3 linked regions of the Lonchura striata genome follow. The protein of the gene in region 1 interacts with the protein of each later gene in a pairwise test. Links are inferred from orthologs where the notes say so. Each region holds a gene or a part of one and is shown on either strand. Other genes may lie near its edges. The genes, in order: NCKIPSD, STAC and PSMD9.

Region 1 (6,967 bases):
AAGGGAACTACAGAAGAGTAAAATCAGCAGGAATATCAGCTGAAGTTGGGCGTTTCTAATCGACTCAAATTAACTTCACATCATCTGTACCTTCTGGTGCTCTGGCTGGGCCCAAGCTTGTTACTTAGGGGCATTCTAAGGAGGATTTGTTGGTGGAACTTTCCTTTCCCCTCCAACTAACTCTCCTTTAACAACAATACTGAGCCAGAAGGATTTCAATTAAAAAACCTGCAAAAATAAGCATTAAAAAATAACTGGGAATTATTTTTTCTTGTAGAGAAGCCAAAACATCAATCCCATATCCATGAAAGCTGAGGAGAAAAAAAAAACCCTGAAATGCAAGAGGAGCTCTGAAGAAAACTAATATTCCTAATAGTGCAGAGCAGCAAGAGCAGCCTCCCTCGTGAGCATCCTCTCAGCAGGTTGCTGTGAGGGGCTCTGACTGTTCCCCACCCTACTGCTCACCTGGAACCTAACTGCACTGCTGAGGAAGGCCAAGCTTACCTTTACAATGGTGACTCCTGTTGGCCACGCTCTCTCCCTGCTAACACCAATCATTAACGGTGTTTTTCCCTCCTGTGATTGGGGCAGCATTAATTACCTCCCAAACCGCTGTCACTAATTGGTCTCTGTGTCCTTATTTAAGCAAAACTGGGTGACAAAATGTTTGCACTCCTCCTGGACATTGAGCAAACAGTCTCAAGCACACTCTCAGTGAGCAGATGCTTTCTGCCATGAATAAACACATGTTTTAACTTCACATCAGCTCTTCAGAGCTGGCAAGATGCAACAACAGAAAGTCAGTCACAGACACGCAGGATGACTGCATCTGCAGAGCAGCAAATTAGATCCTGCTGCTTCACACATCATCAACAAATTCAGGTGCTGGAAATTTAATGGCCAAAACACAGATCAGCAGATGCAGGGAAGACTCTGTTTCCCGCAACAAGGTCTAAAGGCATCTGGGAAAGTTAGAGTTGAAGTAGAGGAAATGCCCACAAAGTCCCCAACAATGCTGCTTTAATACCAGTGCATTACTAACATGTCAGGAGTTAGCCTGGCAGACTGCAAGCTGTGTTGAGGCTGTAGCAAAATATGATGTTAGAAATTAATGTAAAGTCATAGAATAAATACTTTTCCTGTAAGATTTTGAGATGTATACTAGCAAGGTACCTGCAAGAAAAACTGGTATGAGTGAGCAGCCTAGGAGAAGGCTCCTGCACCCACAGCAGCGAGAAGACGTCATGCCACACAAGCAAATGAAGCAAGAGACTGCAGAGAGGAAACTCATGAGCAGCAACCTGGAGCTATGCCACTGTGGGGCTTTAACATCTAGCAGTTAATAAGGTCTTTGCTCTGTAACTAAATAGCTCCTGTACAGAGCTTATTAAAGGCTTATTGATTCACAAGATGTCCCCTTCCATCAGGCCATCCTGCCAGGCTGCAGAAGAGCCCTGGCTTCACAGGACGAATGGACCAAGTGGCCATCAAATGACCTGGTGTTGCCCTGACACACATACACACTCTCCTGTTAAAGCTTTCTCACTGGAGTGTTCTGCAAAGCCCACACCCACACTTACTTACAGCCTGAGTTTCTGCTAATCAGAAATTCAATGGCATCTGAAGGAGCAGCAGCAGCACACTAAAATAAAGAGGGTTGTCACCATTTTCAGACAGATGCCAAAAGGCTCCTTTGTAACATTCACATGCATTTCTGTGCAGTTACCCATTCACTGATGCAAAGTCTTCAGCATCCAGGTCCCACAGCTATCCCGTGGCCCAAAAGTACAAAAGCCCCCATGAATTAGTTCTATATGAAATACCCGTTTTAATTATAGAAGCCACACTTTCCTCCACTAAGCAGCCCTTGCACGGTACAAGTTACATGCAATCTCTTTCCCATGACACTTGCATGGCACAGTGCTTACACCCCAGCAGCAAACGGTGTACTCCATCCTCTGACCCCAGTTAGGGCCACAGCAGGTGCTTGGACCTTGGGTAATTCCCGGTATCATCAACTTGGCTGTAAGTGCTGCCATGGCAGGCAGCTGCCATGGCTTCTCCTGGCCCCCAGGACAGCAGGGGTGTGCTGTGGGTGTCGTGGTGTGTTAGTGGAAGGAGGACAATCACCCCTCACTATCCTCGCAGTGTCAGGGTGCCAGACACACGGAGCCCCCAGGCTGAGCAGCCAGCACGGAGATGGGGAGTGCACTAACTTACACCAACCACGGCTGCTGGCCGGGAGATTCCAGTTTACCTGTAATCATGTTTACTCCTGGGAGGAGAATCCCCCTCAGCATCTCCCAGGGATTCTCCTAGCTTCCTCTCCCAGTTCTGCAGGCGTGAACAGCCCGCCAGACTTTCAGGCCCCGGAGATCCGTACCCAGCCCCCTTCCTCCGGATGAGCCTGCTGAGATCTCACTTTGTCCCTGCCCCGCAGGGCTGGCGCTCCCCAAGCCTGACACCACAGGAGATGAATCCTGCCTCCTGCCACCACGGGATTCCCATCCCACAGTGTCCCAGACTGCTCCCGCCTGCCGCAGACCCTGCGGGGGCAGCCACAGAAGTCGCACACCCGTTTCCCCAGCCGGGCCGGCGGCTCCCGGGGCAGACCCGCGAGGGACGCGAGCGGCTGGGGCTGGGCTGCTCCGAGCCTGGGACAGCCGGGAAAGCCCCGCTGCCGCCAGGGGCCAGGGCAGCGCCGCCCGCCCCGGGAGCTCCGGCAGAGCCGCCCCCGCCCGGCCCGGCCCGGCCCGGCCCGGCCCGGCCCGGCCCACCTGCAGCCGCTGGAGGTAGGAGGCCGGCGCGTAGCCCGTCTCGCCAGAGCCGGCGCGGGTGACGAGCCACCAGTGCTGGTTGCTGCGCTCCAGCAGCAGGAAGGTCTCTCCGGCAGCGAAGGGCAGCGAGTTGGGCTCGGCCGAGCGGAAGCTGTACAGGGCCCGGTACATGGCGGCGGCACCGGCACCGGCAGCACCGGCACCTCGCCCGCCGGACCGGACCGGACCGGGCCCGCCCCCGCCCGCCCCGCCCACACGCCGCCGCCGCGCCGCCCCCCGCGCGGCACCGCCCCCTGGCGGCCCGGCGGCGCCACTGCCCCCGCCCCGCGCGCCCGCCCCGAGCCGCCCGCTGCGCCGCCAGGGGGCGCCAACGGCTCGCGCAGCGCCCCTAGGGCGGCAGCGACACCGGCACCGACACCGGCACCGATCCCGGTACCGGCACCGGCACTGACCCCGGCACCGACACCGGCACCGACCCCGATCCCCGTACCGGCACCGACACCGGCACCGACACCGGCACCGACACCGGCACCGATCCCGGTACCGGCACCGGCACTGACCCCGGTACCGGCACCGGCACCGGCACCGATCCCGGTACCGGCACCGACACCGGCACTGACCCCGGTACCGGCACCGGCACCGGCACCGATCCCGGTACCGGCACCGACCCTGACACCGACCCGGCACCGACACCGGCACCGGCGCCGGCACCGATCCCGGTACCGGCACCGACCCTGACACCGACCCGACACCGACACCGGCACTGATCCCGGCACCGACCCGGCCACCGACCCCAGCATCGACCAGGCACCGACCCAGGCACCGACCCGGACTGACACGGCACTGACCCGGGTACCGACCCGGGCACCTGCACCGGAGACTGACCCCCAGAACTGACTCACGGGCCGATGCCACGGGACAGACCCACGGAACCCGGGCACTGCCCCCGGGCCTGACCCCCGGGCCTGACCCCGGCACGGACCCCGAGGGGCCGTTCACAGCATCCATTAGGCCGGGCGCTTCCCCGGCACCGGCCCGTTTGTGTCCCTCCTCGGTCACACCGTGCCTGGGTTACTGCCGGCCCCTGGGGTCGCTGCTCCCGCCTACCGCCCATCGCCCACCGCCGCCCGGCCCCTCTGTCCCCCACCGTAGCCCAGCTGGCCACGGGCACATCGCTTCCCCACTGAATCTGCCCGTCGTGGCGAGTGTCCCTGAGCACCTCTCCTCTCGGAATGCCGTACTGCAGCACCCGGTGCCACTGAGTCCCTGAAGCCCTTGTGTGCCCACCAGCCCCACCCTGGGTGCCACGAGGGCTTCCCCCAGCGAGCTCCCCTGGCCCGGTCCCGTTCCCCAGCACTCCCCTAGCATGGATCGGGGCACGACCAGGGCTGGCTCTGACCTGCAGTGGACACAGTGACCTGGCACATGGCCATGGCACAGCCCATCAGGCCTGGAGCTCTCCATGAAGACACAGCAGCCCCCAGTCCCATTCATCTCTTTGCCCCATTCCAGGAGAACAACCCTTTTGGACACTACTCCAAGTAGCCCAAGACCCCTGCAAGCCACCCCACCTCCCCAAGATATCAGCAGCTTCCCTTGATCCCTGCTGCCTGGGGATCTGAGCCCTTCTCACTGTCCCAGGGAAGTGGGTGGCAGCCCTGCAGGGCATGGTTCCCTCTCCCTCTTCCCCAGGCAGGGTTTTCTCCATGCTGTCCTAGGAACAAGACAAATTTTCCACCTGACAAAGCCAGCACAGACAGCCTAGGAGCTGGGTGGGTGGGGACCTGGTTACAGCACCCAAGCCCACCACAAAGATATCCCTCATCCATCCTGCCCACCTCTGCCATCCTGCTGGGATGCAGGGATGCAGAGATGGAACAGTCCACAGATCCTCGCTCACAGTTACAGGGGGGTTTAACTCATTGAGAAACCATTCACAACCCAATCCAACCAGTGGTAATACAATAAAAACCAGGCTTGCAGCAGCCACAACCCCCTGCCTGCTCCCAGCACAGCCCACCCAGGCCCTCACTTTTCCCAGCACTGGCAGTGAGGTAATTCATTCTGTTCCTGGTTACGCAGGGATGGAGGATGGAGTGGGAGTGAGCGGTTGCCTAGACTCCCCCACTGCGGCGGGTACCGGGAATCACTGCGGTAGCTGAAGTTGGGCACACTCAGGCTGAAAAAACAGTGGGGTGCTTTAGCTGAGAACTGTGAGATGTAACTGGGGCTGAATCCTTCAGGAGCCCTTCAGGTCTGGACTTCCTGCCTGGTCATAGTCCCTTCCAGGTGCCCAGCAGGGAAAGCGTGACAGTGGGCAAGGGCTGGGCAGCTGGGATCACCACTGCAGGAAAGAAAACATTCCCACTTGTGGAGCCATCCATATCCCATGCGAACAGGATTCTCTGCTTGCCCGTCCCCTGCCCAGTTTGGCTGCAGTGTTCCCCCTGCCACTGTGTCCCCACTCCAGGTGAGCCCTGGCCATCCCTTGGCACAAGCCCAGCTGTTTGTGCTGGAATAACGGCGCTTTGTTTCCACGAAGTCAGCAGCACAGGCTGTGCTGGCAGGCAGAGGCAGCTGAGGGGGATGCAGGCACCCACCAACCACCTCCCACGTGCACAGCAGCAGCACCCCAGTCTCCTCCTGTGCTCAGCACAGCATCCCAGCTCTCCCAGACAGCAACTGGGAAGGATTTCCTCTGTAAAAGGCCCCTTCTTCTGCATCTGAGTAGAATGCAGAGCCCAGGACAAATTCCTGCTGCTGAGGAATCAGCTCTGAATTGCAAGTGCCAGGTGATTATATTGGGCAGGGAGGGGCAACGAACAAGGATCCTGCTGCGTCACTTGCAGATGATTTTTAAAGCTGAACTTGAGACCTCAGGAAAATAATACTCGCATCCCTTGCCCTCAGAGCCTTGGGGGACTTGGGTCACTGTAAGCTGTGAAGGGCTCAGTGCATGCGTGGCAGCCCCCACACTCCTGTTTTCCTCCAGAGCTGTGGAGGGGAAGTGTTGCACAACAGCATTCATATGATTGGAACACAAACTTGCCAGCTCCACATACACTTATATAATTCTGCACCGTCTGCTCGTCAACACGTTGCAAAACAGCAGTGGGATCAATCACTCCACTTTTAGGTATACAAATATTGTTGCATTCCCACCAGCTTTCTCTGGGTGAAAAGTCATAGGGATGTGAGGTGTTGTGAGGACCCCAGGCCCAAAGCTCCAGGGACAATGTCTTCAGTGTGCCCTGCAGGGGCTGGGGATGTCCAAGGCCAGGATGGCCAGGCATGTCCTTATTTCCCGGAGTCCTGATGGCCCTACCTCCTGGAAAACCTGGCTAAAAGGCTGTAGATAGGACCCTCCAATTGCATACATCAGTATCACTTCCAGAAGATCTCACCTCTCCGACTACATCAGCTCCCTTATGGGAGAATCCCCCAAACCTGTGCTGCCTGCCAGCAAGCTGGGACGGGTCCTCTGCTGGGCAAGAGCAAGCCCTGCTCCTGCCTCTTGCAAGGAACACAGTGATCCGTGCTGAACCCGAAAACACCCGCGAGGAGCTGCTCTTTTGATGGCCGCTTCCCCATGGAGCACAACATGTGGAGAAGCTGAAGCTGCCGGGGTAGTGGGTGGCTCTGGGACCGCTCTGTTCCTCCTGCCTGCCGGGCCGAGGTGCCCGCAGGGCTCCTTGCGCAACGAGTCCTGCACAAAGCTGGGGCTGGCTGGGGCCCAGACCCCTCCTGTGGCCGGAGGAAGGAGCAGCCAGTGCCTGCCAACAGCTGCACTTCCTAGAAACAGAAGAAGACAGAAGGTCGAGAGAGTTGAGGGATGGTGGAGGGGGGGCCGGGGGATGCTGTGGGAAGGATTGAGGCGCTGCAGGTTACAAGGCGAGCAGCATACAGCCTTGCGTGCTCTGTAGCTTCTCTTCAGGAAAACAAGCTCTTTGGCTTCACACAACAGCTCCCTGTTCTTTGTTAAACTCTGCTCATGTCCAGACCTGAGGAGCCCCTTGCCAACCCACGTACTCCGTGGGCCGGCACTGCTCTTTCCCATCTCTCCCTGCCGGGGCAGCTCTGCAGGCTCCAATGCCGTGCTGTGGAAACAAGTGGCTCAGGACAATGCCACTTTATCTGCCACCAACCCAATAGCCAGACAGAATTAATTTTGAGTGTGAGGGAAGTGGAGC
Region 2 (7,165 bases), on another chromosome or scaffold:
AATACTCAGTCAGAGGTTCCAGGTTCTTTTCCTGCTTAAGTACAAGCACAAATCTGTTGGTTTGGCTTCTTCCACAGTTACTCATTTGCTACACTCCCTGGAGCAGTGGGAGGCTTAATACTTTGCCTCTAAAAATTACTTTGAGATTATTTAGTCAAAATGCAGGCCACCAGTGTTCCATTAGTACCAGGAATGCTTTCAGAGCATTGACCAGCTTTTGCTTCCAGCTTGATGAGTTGATGATTGTGGCCCTGAGATGGCATTTAGATATGCAGAATCCACAGGGATTTGTTGGTATGTTAGCTGCTCAATGAACTGCCAAGATCGTATAGTAAGCAAACGAGGGGAGGGTGATTATTGTTAAAAATGGGACCACACTCCCAGTACTGAAAGTGATTTCAGCATTTATTATAATAAAAAGGTCTAAAGCGTGGGGGCTCGCAGTCCAAGCAGGAGAGTTCCCATCGAGGATGCTGCAGAGCCAGCGCTGGGTCTTCCTGAGCAGCAATGTCACCAAAGTTCCAGGTGGAGCAGCACAAATTCACTGGGTCAGATGCCCTTTTTATCCTGTTTTTTGTCCCTCTGGATTGGTTCCTGTTTGAATCCATTCATTTGCATGAAGGTTTAAAGCACCTGATTGGCCCATTACAGTTCTGTCCAGGCTGACTCCTTTTGTCTGGGTTTTGATGCACTTTTACTTAGGTGTAATACAGCACGTTGAGTACCGTATTTCTTATAACTACTCTTTTAACCCCTTTACAATAGAATAACTAAACCAAAAGTACATGCTTAACAATTATCAACTATTTTACACCAGTTTCTAGACTATTTTTAACAATTATAAATAAAACCCCCAGCCACGGGATACTATTTTAATCTTGTTTTCTCTGTGGGTACAATGTCTGCTGCAGAGAAGAGCCCACTAGCCTGTCACTTGGAAGAACAGAGAGATACTCAGCAATGGTCTTTGCAGTCTAGTAGCCAGATGTGGGTGAAACAGATGTTTGAGAGAAGAGTCCAGTGAAGATATCAACCACCATTTCCGGCCAAAAGCACCATGCCAAAAGTAAAATTCTCATCACAGATGGCACAAGGCATCCTCTTGTCATTTTCCACAATGACATATATTTGACAAAGAAACAGAACTACTTCTCACCTGGAATACTCAAGAAAGAGAACTATTTCTTACCTGGAATGCTCATAAATTGGCCTGAGGGACTTAGGGTGAGGCTGATCAAGTTTCACTGCAAGTGCTACTAGGACAACATTTTAATTTTTGTCTGATAGTTTCTGCAGCTCTTAGTCTGCATCCTCTTGGAGGCTGGATTCTGTGAACTTGATTCTGCTCTCTTTCAAGAGTCTTCTTTAGAGGAATCCAGACTGCAGCAACCAGACTGATTCCTCACTGCTTTGTAAACTTCTAGAGAGTGGTACATAGTAATTTAAACCAACACCATCTACAAGCAATATCATCTCTATGAGCTCCCTTAGACCCTCTGTTCAGAAGCATTGAATGGTTCATGCAGCAAGTTCTGAATACTCCCTTTCCTTTTTCCTTGTTATTTTTTTCTCTACTAACATGGAAGTATAAACAAAATCAAAATATTTGGTAAGTACTGATTTCTTGTCATTCCTTTAGTGAAATATAGCACTGTGCATGTATATCATTGGCAGAGAGGTGGTAAAATATTTCAAAGGAATGTCCATAACAAAAAAGCAAAAAAAGGGATGCAAAAACCATGCTATAGGCCATATCTCACCAGCTTAATCTCGCCACTTTGAAGGTCTCCAGCATGTAGGACTTGGCAGCACAGCAAGTGTGTATATATTCCAGGAGTCAGGAGCTTCAGGGATGCTCTTATCAGTCTGGCTTCAGCCAGAGCTTAGGAAGAACTACAGCCCAGTGAGGAGGGCTGTGCCACACCACATCCTGTCCTCTTTGTGTGTGGGACCAGAGAGGGGGAGTGAAGAAGGGCAGACAAGCCATGGCACCCATGCAGCCAACATCAGACCAGGGCACCCATGCAGCCAGCATCAGACCACCAGCAGAGGAATACTTGGCAGGGCCTCCAGGCAACACACAACAGCCTTTACACAGCCGAACAACTCCAGCTGGGGGCTGGGAATTGGTGCTCATGTTTTATTCATCCAAATTGCTTTTCCCCACTCTAGAAATCTACACTCTCTACGCTACAGAAGCTGTTCAACTTCCTCTTGTTTAGCACTGTGCTGCACTACTCCCATTTCCTCTGAGCTCCTTTAGGTAGAGTCTGATCAGCAGTAATCACAAGTCCAGCTTCTCTGGAGTGAAGCGTGGGTGAGAGACGTAAGTTCCTCTAGCTTGATCAGTCTGTTTTGCTATACTATATATTAGATCTTCGATAGCCAGCTCCCATGGAAGGAAATGAAAATGTAACAAATCCAGTTTCTTTTCCTTTTTGCTTTTTTGGTAAAATTTTATGCTTGACTCATCTTTCCCAAGCTAATTGTCAAGAAACTGACAAATCCATCGTGGTTGACAAGTGAGTAATTGGGGGAAGAGAAGGAGTGTAGCAGGTGTTAGTACTAATTTGGTAAAACAATTAAAGTAAAGAGTGGTATGATAGTCACTTACACAGTCATGACGTTACAAGCTCTTCATACAAAATGTGTGCAGGATTTTACAACACTTAGAGAATTAACTATTAACCAGCCACTCCCCAACCATTTCAAAGGTAACCTCCAAGTTCACCATAAGATGTTTTTGAACCTCTTAACAGGAAAGAGTCAATCACAACACTTGTGGGGAACCAGACTGAATATAGTTTTATGATTCTCACCTGTCAGGTTGCTGGGCACACAGAAGAGTCCTTGCGGGGGGCAGACCCCATGTGCTGGCCATGGCTTGGCTGTTCTAGGCTGGATCATCAGGGAAGGATGCTACTGCCAGAACTGGAGCATTCAATTGCGGTTGCCCTGCCAAGATCTCCGTTGCTCACAGCTGCCCTAATTCTCCAAAACTGTGGCTCTAACAAGTCACTGCTCATTGCTAAGAGGATGATTTTACAGCAAAGACCAAATCTTACTTGCTGAGTGAAGAAATTACCTTTGCACCTGGAGAATTTCTCCACCACTGAAGGGAATGGTCTAAGACACTGCTGCATTTCAGAAAGCAAGCCCTTGGAAATAAATTCTTCTTCTTTACCTGCCAAATCTGCCCCTCTGAGCTCTGTATTTCCTTTCTTCAATCTCAGTTGTTACTGCCACTGCCTCAAGAGCAAACAGTGTTCTCGTTTTGATCCCTGTAATCGTGTTAGTGTCTACAGGCCAAATAATAGGTTCTACTGGCAGACCCGTAAGACACTCTTTTGCTCTGAAGTAGCTGTACAAATAGCATTGCAGCATTTCATCTTTATTGTCTGCTAAGGATTTTGGTATTTTATATGCTCTGTTTCAAAAACATAAAGATCTTTTCCCCATCTAAGTTCTAGTCCTGAAGATTCACTGGGGATTCAAAGAGAAGCTGAATTTTTTCCTGGCTTCTGCATAGCTATTAAGAATACAGAGGCTGCAGGGCAATTTCTGCTCTTGCTTTCATCTGTATAACCCCTACTATACTGTAAACTTGCTTTCACTTTCATACATTGATTATTTGAGGTGAAGGAGGCCTTCAAGGCAGCTCCAAGTAGCAACTGTGTTTCTAAGGGATGGGGACAGAGGGGAATCTGGTATCCTCTCCCAGAGCTACAAGGTACTGAAGACCATCTCTGACTTAGATCTGACCAAATCACCTCCAAACACCTGTATACATCCACTAAACAACTATTCTTTTTCTTCTTAATTTCCAGTATGTAACTATGGCTATTAAAAACATATTTGGGTTGCTTTTTTCTGCTTTCTTTAAATGAAAGAAGTCATCTCCAGCAGCCACATGGAGTGGCACCCGCTCAGCAAGGCATATCTGGTGGGAAGCACATCCATTCAACCTTTTGCAATAGAGACCTCAGTTCAGCAGGGAAGAGAGCTGACAAGCACCTTTGCAGCAGATTTAAATCAGAGGCAGAACCTCGAGCAATATAAAGCAATCTGAGGCAGACAGCAAAGTCACGCTGACCTTCTGCCAGCAGTACTGCAGACCCAAGCGTGACTTCAGGTGCTGCATCTTCAGGAATGACAGCACTGGGGGAATCCAACAGGCTCTTCCCAATGGCTGCCTCTGTTCTGCTGCTGCCTGATGGAGTGTTATCACTATGACAACCTACAGGTATAGTATGTGCATGATAGTGAGAGCTCCAGATGACCCAGATTGCGTGTGTATGGCTCAGAGCTGGGCTTCCCTGCCTGGGAGGGGAGCAAGGAACACGTGGATCCACAGGTAACTCTCCCCTGACTCTGTCTTGTCGTTTGCTAGCAAGCTGGGGATGTGGGCAAGGTGGGAGCCTTAGAGACACTGAGTAGCTAGGATTTTAAATAATCTCTGGGACAAGGAAAAAAGAGTCATTTTTCCTCTTCTTCAGTAAAAGACATGAAAGAATATGAGGGTACCCTTCAACTCTGTCTTTGCTAGTGTGTTAAAAAGGTAAAATGCTTCTAAACGTCGTAGTCACTGCCTGCCTGTGTGTGTGTGTGTGTGTGTGCATGCACGCGTTACTTTCTTTCACTACTATGACAGCACATGCTCCTCCAGAGCTATTCACAGCATTAGAAATACAACTCCTCCCTCCAGTGCCGTGTGTGTGTCTGTGTGTGTGTGTGTGTGTGTGTGTGTGTGTGTGTGCATGTGTGCGTGGCTTGGGCTTGCTGCTTCAGCTCACTCCCCTCTGACTGTGGGGCTGGCGGTCACGACACCGCTCCGCACTTCCAGGCTTCATATGGAGGGGAGGAGTATCGTGGAAAAGCAGGCACACGAGTGACCTACAGAACCATCGATAACTTACTCCCTCGCAGCACAATCGCATAGGAAAGGGGAGGGGAGGAAGGAGGGGAAGGAGGAGGAGAAGGGGGGAGAAAAAAAGAAAATCCAGAGAATTCTACTCTGGCAAATACAGTGAAACCAAGCGGTCGGAGTTCATTTGCTCTAAAAGAGCAGAGAAGAAAGAGGACGTTACGTGAAAAAAATCAAGAACCATCTGTAGCCTTTTTTTTTCCCCTGATAGTAGCAGTGTTTTAGAGGTAAAATGATTCCTCCGAGCAGCACGGCTGAAGTCAGCGTGGACAGTGTGGAGAAAGAGAATGAAGCGGAGAGCACAGAGCAGCCCCCGTCTCCAGCATCAACTACCAGCCAGGAATCAAAGGTACTCAGAGAATGAGATTTTTTTTTTTTCCCTCTTTCTTTGTTTTGAAAAGAGATGTATTGCTTTGATTTTCATTTGGAGCCCTGTGCCAGGATCAGCGGCAGAGTGCAATGAGCCACCTCTGACTGCGGTGCCTGCTCCGACACTCCTGCTTCTTCTGAATTCTCTCTGTCACCTCAGGAGTCTGAGCTGGGGAAATACCTGCCTTCTGAGATGCTTGGGTTTGTGGATTTTTGCCTCTGTTTTCTTCTCCTTGTTATGGTAACATGCTGGGGTAGTGACGGGGCTCGGGGAGGGGATCGCTGTCAGTGGACGTTGTTAGCTATTTTCACACCAAGTATCAGATCACTTAAAGGGTTTTTGGAAAAAAATTCTTTTCCTCAAAGGTTCAGAGAAAATAATTCTGTCTGGGGGCTTGGGGTATTTCACTTGACTTTACTTCTCTGGCAGACTCATCAGTGAACTTTCACTGTTTAATGAGTCTGCTAAAACGGGAGATAAGTCACAGCTTTACAACAACGAACCTTATGTACACCACACAGAAAAGGATTTTTGTTTTCTTTTTGTGAGTTTTTCTGTGTGGTTCAGTTTACCTTATTGAAAATCAACTTTCAGCTCAAATGGCATGGCCTCTGAATTTTTAATTGACTTGCATGCGAAAAGTTTTTCTGACTGCCAGGGTGTAACTTGGAAGACAGAGGTAAAAGGTAGAGTAGTAACCTTACACAATGAAAGTTCCTTACAGCTGACTTGGATAATATGCTTTTACTGATGCTCTGTTACTTATGATTGATACCATGATAGCACCTGACAGATCTTTCTGTGAACTTCATACTGTGATGCTGTGTAAACTTGTAAAAATAGGGGGGTTCTTGTCACTAGGAGCTTACAGGTGGGTAAAGCCTCAGGAGGTGTGAGCAAAACAGCTGCTTGACAGGGAAGGTCTTGTGCTGGCCTGAGTTTAAAGGCAGTGGCTGCCTGAGTCTGATATAGAAAGACTGTTACATTATTCTGCAGTTACAGCTTTCCACTTTCCGGAGAGTGAGCTCAAATTATCTGTCTGTGTGGGTAGAGTTTTGATGTGGGCTTTGAGCTTCATTATTTTATATATTTATTTAGAAGCTATACTCCAAGGAGGAGAGCTGAGGTATTCCCTGTGTAATGCAACCTCTTTAAAAGAGCTTTTCCAGTAATAATAGCATACAATATTCACTACACACATTTAGCTCTACTGGAGTTTCCCTGGTTCATGGAAAATGAAAAGTAAATGGATTATTGGTATAAGCCTGGGCTCTAAAAGGACACGGTACCTAAATCCCACCCCCCTGAGTCCACTTCTCTGGAATTACTGAAGTGTTATATGGGCAGTGGAAAGCTTTGCCTGTAGTGAGGTCCCAAAAGTACCTGCAGCTTTCACTGCATTGCCAGCACCAGCTGCTCAAGTGTTCTGGGCTGTGCATGGGGCCTGGTGGGCTGTGTGCTCCCCGTGATCCCAGCTGTGATGCTCACCCTGTGCCAGAATGGCTAAGGAACTCCATGTGCCACTTGATAACAATGGTGCTTGAGGGATTTTCCTGCTGGGTCACGGAATGCTGTTCCCAAAAGAGACTGGCATGGATCCAAAACTCAAGAGAAAGTGAAGAGCTGCTCAGAGGGTTCCCCCTTGCTGTTTGTGCACCCGTGTGTTTCCAAGGATGACAACAGGAATTAGGCACATCTGGCCAGAGAACAAATAGGCTGCAAACTAGCTTATAATCAAACATTGTGATCATCAATTTTGTTCAGTCTTTTGAGCATTTGAAGCAATACACTGGAATAGGCAAAAGCTATGACAAAGCAGTTGATGCCATTACTTGGATAGAGATATTCTTAATAAATGAACAATCTGTGTA
Region 3 (7,089 bases), on another chromosome or scaffold:
AGATGAAGTATCAAACTTGCATATCTCTTGCCTTTTTGGATCAAGAAGTATTCTAGGACTTCTTAGCATATATTACATGATATTTAGCAAGGAGTTTTAAAGGGGAGAAAAAAGGAATGCTCTGTTATCACCAAAAAAGAGCATTTCAAGCTCTTCAGAGTGTGTATCAAGTGAGATTTGGGTCTCTCTAGAGCCTTATTCTAAACTGATACAAGGTGGAAGAGATGAGAAGCCACATCTTGCAGCTCTGCAGGTTCCTCCTGACAACCAGTGCAATTCTGAACTGCAGAACTCTGCCAGAACCCTTCAGGCACCAGAGGTCACAGCAACACCACGTAGGAAGTTTTCAAACCAGATCAGAGTCCAGAAAACAGGCACAAGCTTCAGCTTTATTGTTCTCCCAGTCACGGTCATCTTTGTAAAGGAACGATATTGCAGCTGAAAAAGAAGAGGGTAGGAGGAAATATTAAATTTTCATTTCTCAAACAGGCACAGAAGACCTGACGTGGGATGGCTCAGACCCTCCACAACCCTCTTCCACTGGTTTCCTCTACCAGACAAACCAGCCACTGAGACCTTTCTGCCTGGGCTCATGTTTGATGAAACTTGACTCCCTGTATCCCTGTGCAGAACCAGCAAATCCAGCTCCCTGGTGCCCACCTGTGAGGTCTGTCACAGTGGGCAGTGACACAGCCAGGGCTGGCCCTGCTCAGGAAACATGCCCTGAGCTGGTGAAAGCCTCTTCCCTCCAGCAATGAAACAGTAGCTCACCCCAGGAGGCCCTTCCCAGACCAGCGCTTTGGAGTCAGCCCCACGTGCACCCTTCTGCCACCACGGATCACAGTCACACTCAGGGGTCTCTGAAAGAGAGGTAAAAATAGAAAAATAACCAAAATATTTCACTTTTCCATCATAAAGTCAACTCTCTTCCTCCTTTTGCCTGAAGCACATGAAGAACATTAAGCCCGAGGAACTGTTCTGCAGCAGTGCCCATTCCCACTCCTGTGGCTATAACTGAAAGAAGAGAGTGCTTTGTGTGAGGTCATCTCCAGGAGATCCCCCAGTTCCACCACCAAGCACTTAATGGTTGTGGCAGCTTCTCTGGCCAGGCCACGAGGGTGGCACAGCAAAGCTGCTGCAGGGAGTCCCCGGGGAGAACAAAGAGCACACACCTCTCAGCTCTTCCATTCATGAGCAAATAGTGCTGGGAAAGAACAAGGCAACAACTGCACAGACTGAATCTGACACTGTTTCTGACATGGAAATGATGATTCCAGAGATTCAAGTTCCATAGAAAAAGCTGTGGCTAACAGAGACAGGCAAGAGAATGCAGTCACAGCAGGAATGAGCTCACCCCCTCGCTGTGCTGCACCACCGTGGCAATGTTCTGCAGGTTCTGGAAGTTGTTTGCATTGACAGATCCAAACTCCACAATCTCGTCATCAACTTGAAGTCCCTGGACAGAGATAGATGAGCATCTGCATTCTCTAAAGACAGGTGGTATCACAGGAGCACCACCCTTCACCCAGCCACAGGGAGAGAGATGTGCTACAACACTTCTCACACTCGGGCAAGTGAACATCACTACAGCCACAGGGAGAGGCAAGTGTTCATTCCTCTGTTCTGTTTCATGGGAAGAGAAATTCTGAGGCTGGAATGGTCAGTGAGGCCTGGAAGGAACTGTGTGGTGCCAGGATACAGCTCAGAGAACACCCATCTCATCCCTGTACAGCGACCAACCCCTTCACAGGACATCCCAACACGATTAAAAAAAGGGGGTGACACCCTAATCAAGCCCCCAGCTTATTCCCACTTATGGGGGAGGGAGCCATGAGCTGTCTGGCTCCAGACAAAGCCTTCCCCACGAGCTGTGCCCAACATACTGAGACACTGGCAGGAGAGCCCGGGGTCACGGTGTTCACTTTGGCAAAGGCCTGGGGCAGGCTCTGCTTCTGGCTCATGGCCTCGGCCAAGGCCTCTGCCTCATCCTTGGCGTGTTTCTCCTTCTCCCGGGCGTGCAGCTTGTGCAGAGCTTCCTCCACCTGCTTCATCAGGGCCTTGTGATCGTTCTGCAAACCTGTGGGTGACACCATGAGCGCACAGGGAGTGGAAAGGCGTCCCCCAAAGGGGTGTCAGCCACACAGAGCAGTGCCTTGGCTGTCTCTGATCTCAGCAAGAAGCTCTGCTCTATCTGCTGGGGCCTGGTGCCAGCCCGGCAGATGTTTATCAGTAAAAGTCTGACACAGAGAAAACCACCCTACGAGAATTTTGGTAAACATGCTGGGAGGCCCTTGATCCCCTAGAACTCGGTGAGCAGCTTAAATCTTCTTTCCATTAAGTCACCTGCTGTTACATACGTACCCATCCTGAAAGTCAGGGCACTGGAAAAGCCTGGGATGAAATAAACGCCAAGCTATTTCCTACCCAAATTTTATTCTACAAACAGCACAGAAAAACCTTGTGGTGCTTCACAGACCCCAAATGGCTCCGCAGCAGTGGCAGAATTTCAGCAACACGTGGACAAAAGCATTTTCCTGACTCAGCCCGGGCGGCAGCTCGGAGCACTGAGCAGATCCCCCGGGGAGCAGGCTCAGCGCAGCGCTGGGCCCGGTTCCGAGGAACGAGCGACACGGGGTTTCAGGGAGCTGCGCGCTGCCGGTCCCCGGGCACAGCCTTTGCCCCGCTCATCCCGGTTTCCCGGCTCATCCCGCGGCACGGCGGCGCGGCCCCGGGACGAGCCCCCCGCCCGGTGCCCGGCCCCCGTTCCCCGCTCACAGATGATGTTGTGCCGGGCGGTGCGCACTTGGTACAGGTCGATGTCCGAGCGGGGGAAGCCCTCGGCGTCCACCAGCGGCTCGTGCATCCCGACGCCCTTTTGCTGCGAGGGGAGAGGCGGCGGTTGGGAGGGGGCCGGGCCCGCACGGCGCCCCCCGGCCCGGCCCGGCCCTGCCCGGGCACCGACCCCCTCCAGCAGCTCGTAGCACGCCTTGATCTGCGCCTCGACCTCGTCCTTGCGCCGCACCAGCTGCTGGACATCGCTGACGGTGACGGGGCGGCCCTCGCCGGGCTCCGCCATGGCCGCGGCCGGACGGGAGCCGGGACGGGCGCGGGGCGGGGCCGGGGCGGGGCCAGCGGGACGGAGCGGGGCGGCGGAGCGGCGGCGCTACCGGGGTGGCACGGCGGTGACACAGCACCGACACAGCACCGACACAGCACCGACACAGCGGCGGCGCTACCGGGGTGACACAGCACCGACACAGCGGCGGCACTACCGGGGTGACACAGCACCGACACAGCACCGACACAGCGGCGGCACTACCGGGGTGACACGGCGGTGACACAGCACCGACACAGCACCGACACAGCACCGACACAGCACCGACACAGCGGCGGCACCGCCGGCACGGGGTGGCCCAGCGGTGTCGCCGTCACCGGGTCACGCTGCTGTGCTGGTGCCATGGGGTGGCTCTGATGGTGACACGTGGTGGCACAGCAGTGTCACCATCAGTGAGTTACACAGCTTTGATGGTGACATGTAGTAGCGCAGCGGTGTCACCACCACCGCGTGACACAGCCGTGGTAAACGATGTCCCTGTCCCTGCTGCTGGCCCCTCTCCAGTCTGTGGCACAGCACATTTGCCCGGTGCTGCATGGCATCCATGTCCCAGGGAGTGTGGCAACAGGGGACAGCCCCGCCACGAGACCCCCAGCCCTGTCCTCAGTGCCACTGGCACCCACCCAAGCCCCCTGTGCTCATCCTCTGGCCTTGCTGGTGGCTGCGACATCCCACCACTCCCAGCCAGGTGGAATTTGTGCTCTGGTATCTCCCCTGCGGGGCCATCTCTTGTCCCCTCCCCCTGCTGTCCCACATTTTGGGGTCCCTGCAGCGCTGAGCTCACCGGGGCTGAAGGTGGCACCGCGTGGCCCCGTGCCCAGACACCACCACACCCCCAGCGGTGGGCAGGCTGCCCAGGATGACATGTCCGCAGGGAGGGGTGAATGTCCCCAGGGGCAGCGGGCGGGCCGGGGGATGCGCTGCCCAAATCGCGTCACCCCCCCGCCCCCCGTGACTGTGACACGCACGGGGCAGGGATTTGGTGCCAGCCCTCCGCAGAGCCTCCCGTGCCCTCGGCACCCTGCACGTTTCACCCCGCAGTGCCACCGCCAGGGTGCAGGGACCCGTGCCACGGCCCCAGTGACAGCCGCCCGCCACCCCCCTTTGGGCAGTTCCCAGCCAAAACCAAACACATCCCTGGGTTGGTGGTGGGGGAAGGTGGGGCCGAGGAGGAGCCTCCCCATCCCCTTATATTGAAAGCCCCCCCGTTCTTGCACTCTCTTTGCTTGTGTCACATTGCCAGGTCACAAAAATGGTGAGGGGCAGCAGATGGGAATTAATTCAGACAACTGGGGCTCTATGGCACAGGATGCCTTGGGAGATTTAAGCTCTGCTTGAATTCGGATTTTCCAGTGACTATGCTGGAAGTGGCACACCAGAGCTGCTCCTCACAGCCTGACCTTTAAATTCAGCTCCCTGGGGCCGCTGTACTTGCCTGTCCCTCTAATTTCTCTCTTTTCTCATTTTCTTTCAGACGTCCTACACAGACAAGGGAGAAAAGGTAAGAGTTGTGTCCCTGTCCTGCCCTTCTGCCTGGTGTGAAACATGGGTCATGTTACTGCAGATTGTATCAATTCCTTGTTTACCTGTTGAAATCAGAAGTAAAACTGCTCTGGCTGGGTCACACAAGATCCTCGTTGTAAATTAGTATTAATAACTGAAATTTCTGCTTTGGGAGGAGAGTGATGAACAGGAGATGATGGGTATTTCCCAGTCAAACTTAGCCTTAAGCAGAATCCTTGTTCCATGCAACATTTATTTTCAAATGCTGCACTTTTTTGCCTCTTTTTTCACTTTTAAAGTGTGTCCACTGCAGAGTGGCCTGTGCCAGGTTGGGCAGTGGTGGGGAACAGAGCAAAGAGGGATCTGTCCTGGTGCTGGTGGTTGTGTAAGAGCTTTTGTGGAAGAATTAATCTTTAACACAGCGAGGTTTGCAGGTGGGCAGCTCGCTGGGATGGCCACTTGCGGGGAGCACTGGGAGAACTGGAATTGTGGCTGTGGGCAAAGGTGAATCGATGTTTTGCACCTTCCAACCTGTGGTGCAGGATCCTGTAGGGCTTGACTGTAAAGCACTTTGGAAAATCACCATCTGGGGGCCGTTCCACCCAGTTATTTCAGATTCATTTGCAGGAGATGCATTTCAGGGTCCCAGCTGCTGCTTTCCCCTGCTCTGGAGCCGAGCAGTGCTGCAGGAAATGCAGCAGCAGCTTTCAGCCCCATTTTCCCTCCCTTTTAGCCCCAACGAGGCCGCTTCATCCATTTCCACTCCATCACCTTCTGGGTCGGCAATGCCAAGCAGGTGAGAGGCTGCGGCCGCCGGGCACAGTGCAAGGGGACCACGGTGCCAGGGGACAGCAGTGCCTGGGGACAGCGGTGCCTGGGGACAGCAGTGCCTGGGGACAGCGGTGCCACAGGACAGCAGTGCCTGGGGGCAGCAGTGCCTGGGGACAGCGGTGCCAGGGGACAGCGGTGCCAGGGGACAGCAGTGCCACAGGACAGCAGTGCCAGGGGACAGCAGTGCCACAGGACAGCAGTGCCACAGGACAGCAGTGCCAGGGGACAGCAGTGCCAGGGGACAGCAGTGCCTGGGGGCAGCGGTGCCTGGGGGCAGCGGTGCCAGGGGACAGCAGTGCCACAGGACAGCAGTGCCAGGGGACAGCAGTGCCAGGGGACAGCGGTGCCACAGGACAGCAGTGCCTGGGGACAGCAGTGCCACAGGACAGCAGTGCCACAGGACAGCAGTGCCAGGGGACAGCAGTGCCAGGGGACACCTCCCAGGTGGGACAGGCCGGGCGCTGCAGGCATTGGCTGCCCGGGGGGCGTTGGTCCATCCCGGCAGCCCCTGGGCTGTGCCGCTGTCCCAAAGCCCAGCCCTGGCCTGGCGCCGGTGGCCTTGGTGGCCCTTGCGCAAGGCAGGGGCGGCTGCCGGGGGCGTGGGACGTGAACCATGGGCTCATGGCAGCTGATTTCCATCCCTTGCCCTGGGCAACTTAAACACCTCTCTGCTTCACACCCGAGCTGCTTTTCACCCAACCTGGCAGAAGGGGACACGCAGAAATGTCTCCTGCTCCATGGCATCCCTCACAAAAAGTTCTGGAGGCAGCACTTCCCACTGAATTTGGACTTCTTCCTCAATCCCAGACCTTTCTTGCCTCTGTTTGTTGCCCCTGGGCTGTGGGAGGAGGCGAAGATGCTGCCTGTTCTCACACACACACAGGGCAAGTGTGACTTGCACCTGCCATGGTGGCTGATCTCCATGGCCTGTGGGCCACCAGCACCTCAGCTTCAACCAGAGGGACTCTTTCCTGCCCACAGGCTGCATCCTACTACTGCAACAAGCTGGGGTTTGAGGAGCTGGCCTACCGGGGGCTGGAGACCGGCAGCAGGGAGGTGGTGTCACATGTCATCAAGCAGGACAAGGTAAGGGAGCCCTGACAGAGGTGCCACTGCCAGGGCAGGGAAAGGTGAGGTGCATCAGACATGAGGGTGCTGCCAAACCCACCATGAAAACCATCACCTGTGGCTCCATCCTCACCTCTCCTCCTCTTCCTCGACAGATCGTGTTTGTTTTCTCATCTGCTCTGAACCCAGGGAATGAGGGTAGGTGTCACTGGGGGGGATGGAGTAGAAAATGGCCATGGCAGAACAAAGCAGTTCTGCTCATGCCTGTGGCTGTTCCTGCTCGGGGCAGAGATGGGGGAGCACCTGGTGAAGCACGGGGACGGGGTGAAGGACGTCGCCTTCGAAGTGGAGGACTGTGACTTCATCGTGCAGGTGGGCAGCCCCTCCACCACCTCCCACACAGCCCCCCAGAACGGTGAGGGGAGGCAGGGAGGGCCTTGGGATGTCCTCCCCGGCCCAGGGGAGCTGTGGCAGGACGGGATCTCTCTCCTTCTGCCCAGAAAGCCAAGGAGCGCGGCGCCGTGGTGGTGAAGGAGCCGTGGGTGGAGCAGGACAAATTTGGGAAGGTGAAG

The links.
Region 2: the proteins of NCKIPSD (region 1) and STAC interact in binary tests that used the Homo sapiens proteins (3 or more experiments, as listed by UniProt). The link is inferred for Lonchura striata from reciprocal best matches to the Homo sapiens genes NCKIPSD and STAC.
Region 3: the proteins of NCKIPSD (region 1) and PSMD9 interact in binary tests that used the Homo sapiens proteins (3 or more experiments, as listed by UniProt). The two-hybrid records come from large-scale screens. The link is inferred for Lonchura striata from reciprocal best matches to the Homo sapiens genes NCKIPSD and PSMD9.

What each region holds. Positions count from the first base shown.
Region 1 is NC_134614.1:12,596,527-12,603,493, reverse strand, and holds the start of NCKIPSD (NCK-interacting protein with SH3 domain), read right to left. Parts: upstream 3,027-6,967; 5' UTR 2,949-3,026; coding exon 2,778-2,948; intron 1-2,777. UniProt on the Homo sapiens protein: Has an important role in stress fiber formation induced by active diaphanous protein homolog 1 (DRF1). Induces microspike formation, in vivo. In vitro, stimulates N-WASP-induced ARP2/3 complex activation in the absence of CDC42.
Region 2 is NC_134603.1:108,979,988-108,987,152, forward strand, and holds the start of STAC (SH3 and cysteine-rich domain-containing protein), read left to right. Parts: upstream 1-4,153; 5' UTR 4,154-4,243; intron 4,244-5,135; 5' UTR 5,136-5,156; coding exon 5,157-5,273; intron 5,274-5,302; exon of another isoform or gene 5,303-5,494; intron 5,495-7,165. UniProt on the Homo sapiens protein: Promotes expression of the ion channel CACNA1H at the cell membrane, and thereby contributes to the regulation of channel activity.
Region 3 is NC_134620.1:12,307,658-12,314,746, forward strand, and holds the start of PSMD9 (26S proteasome non-ATPase regulatory subunit 9), read right to left. Parts: upstream 3,100-7,089; 5' UTR 3,077-3,099; coding exon 2,963-3,076; intron 2,879-2,962; coding exon 2,776-2,878; intron 2,078-2,775; coding exon 1,884-2,077; intron 1,457-1,883; coding exon 1,355-1,456; intron 861-1,354; coding exon 772-860; intron 439-771; coding exon 411-438; 3' UTR 1-410. Other genes in the region: HPD (4-hydroxyphenylpyruvate dioxygenase), read left to right, coding at 4,368-4,370, 4,590-4,616, 5,352-5,414, 6,431-6,535, 6,673-6,715, 6,807-6,889, 7,018-7,089. UniProt on the Homo sapiens protein: Acts as a chaperone during the assembly of the 26S proteasome, specifically of the base subcomplex of the PA700/19S regulatory complex (RC).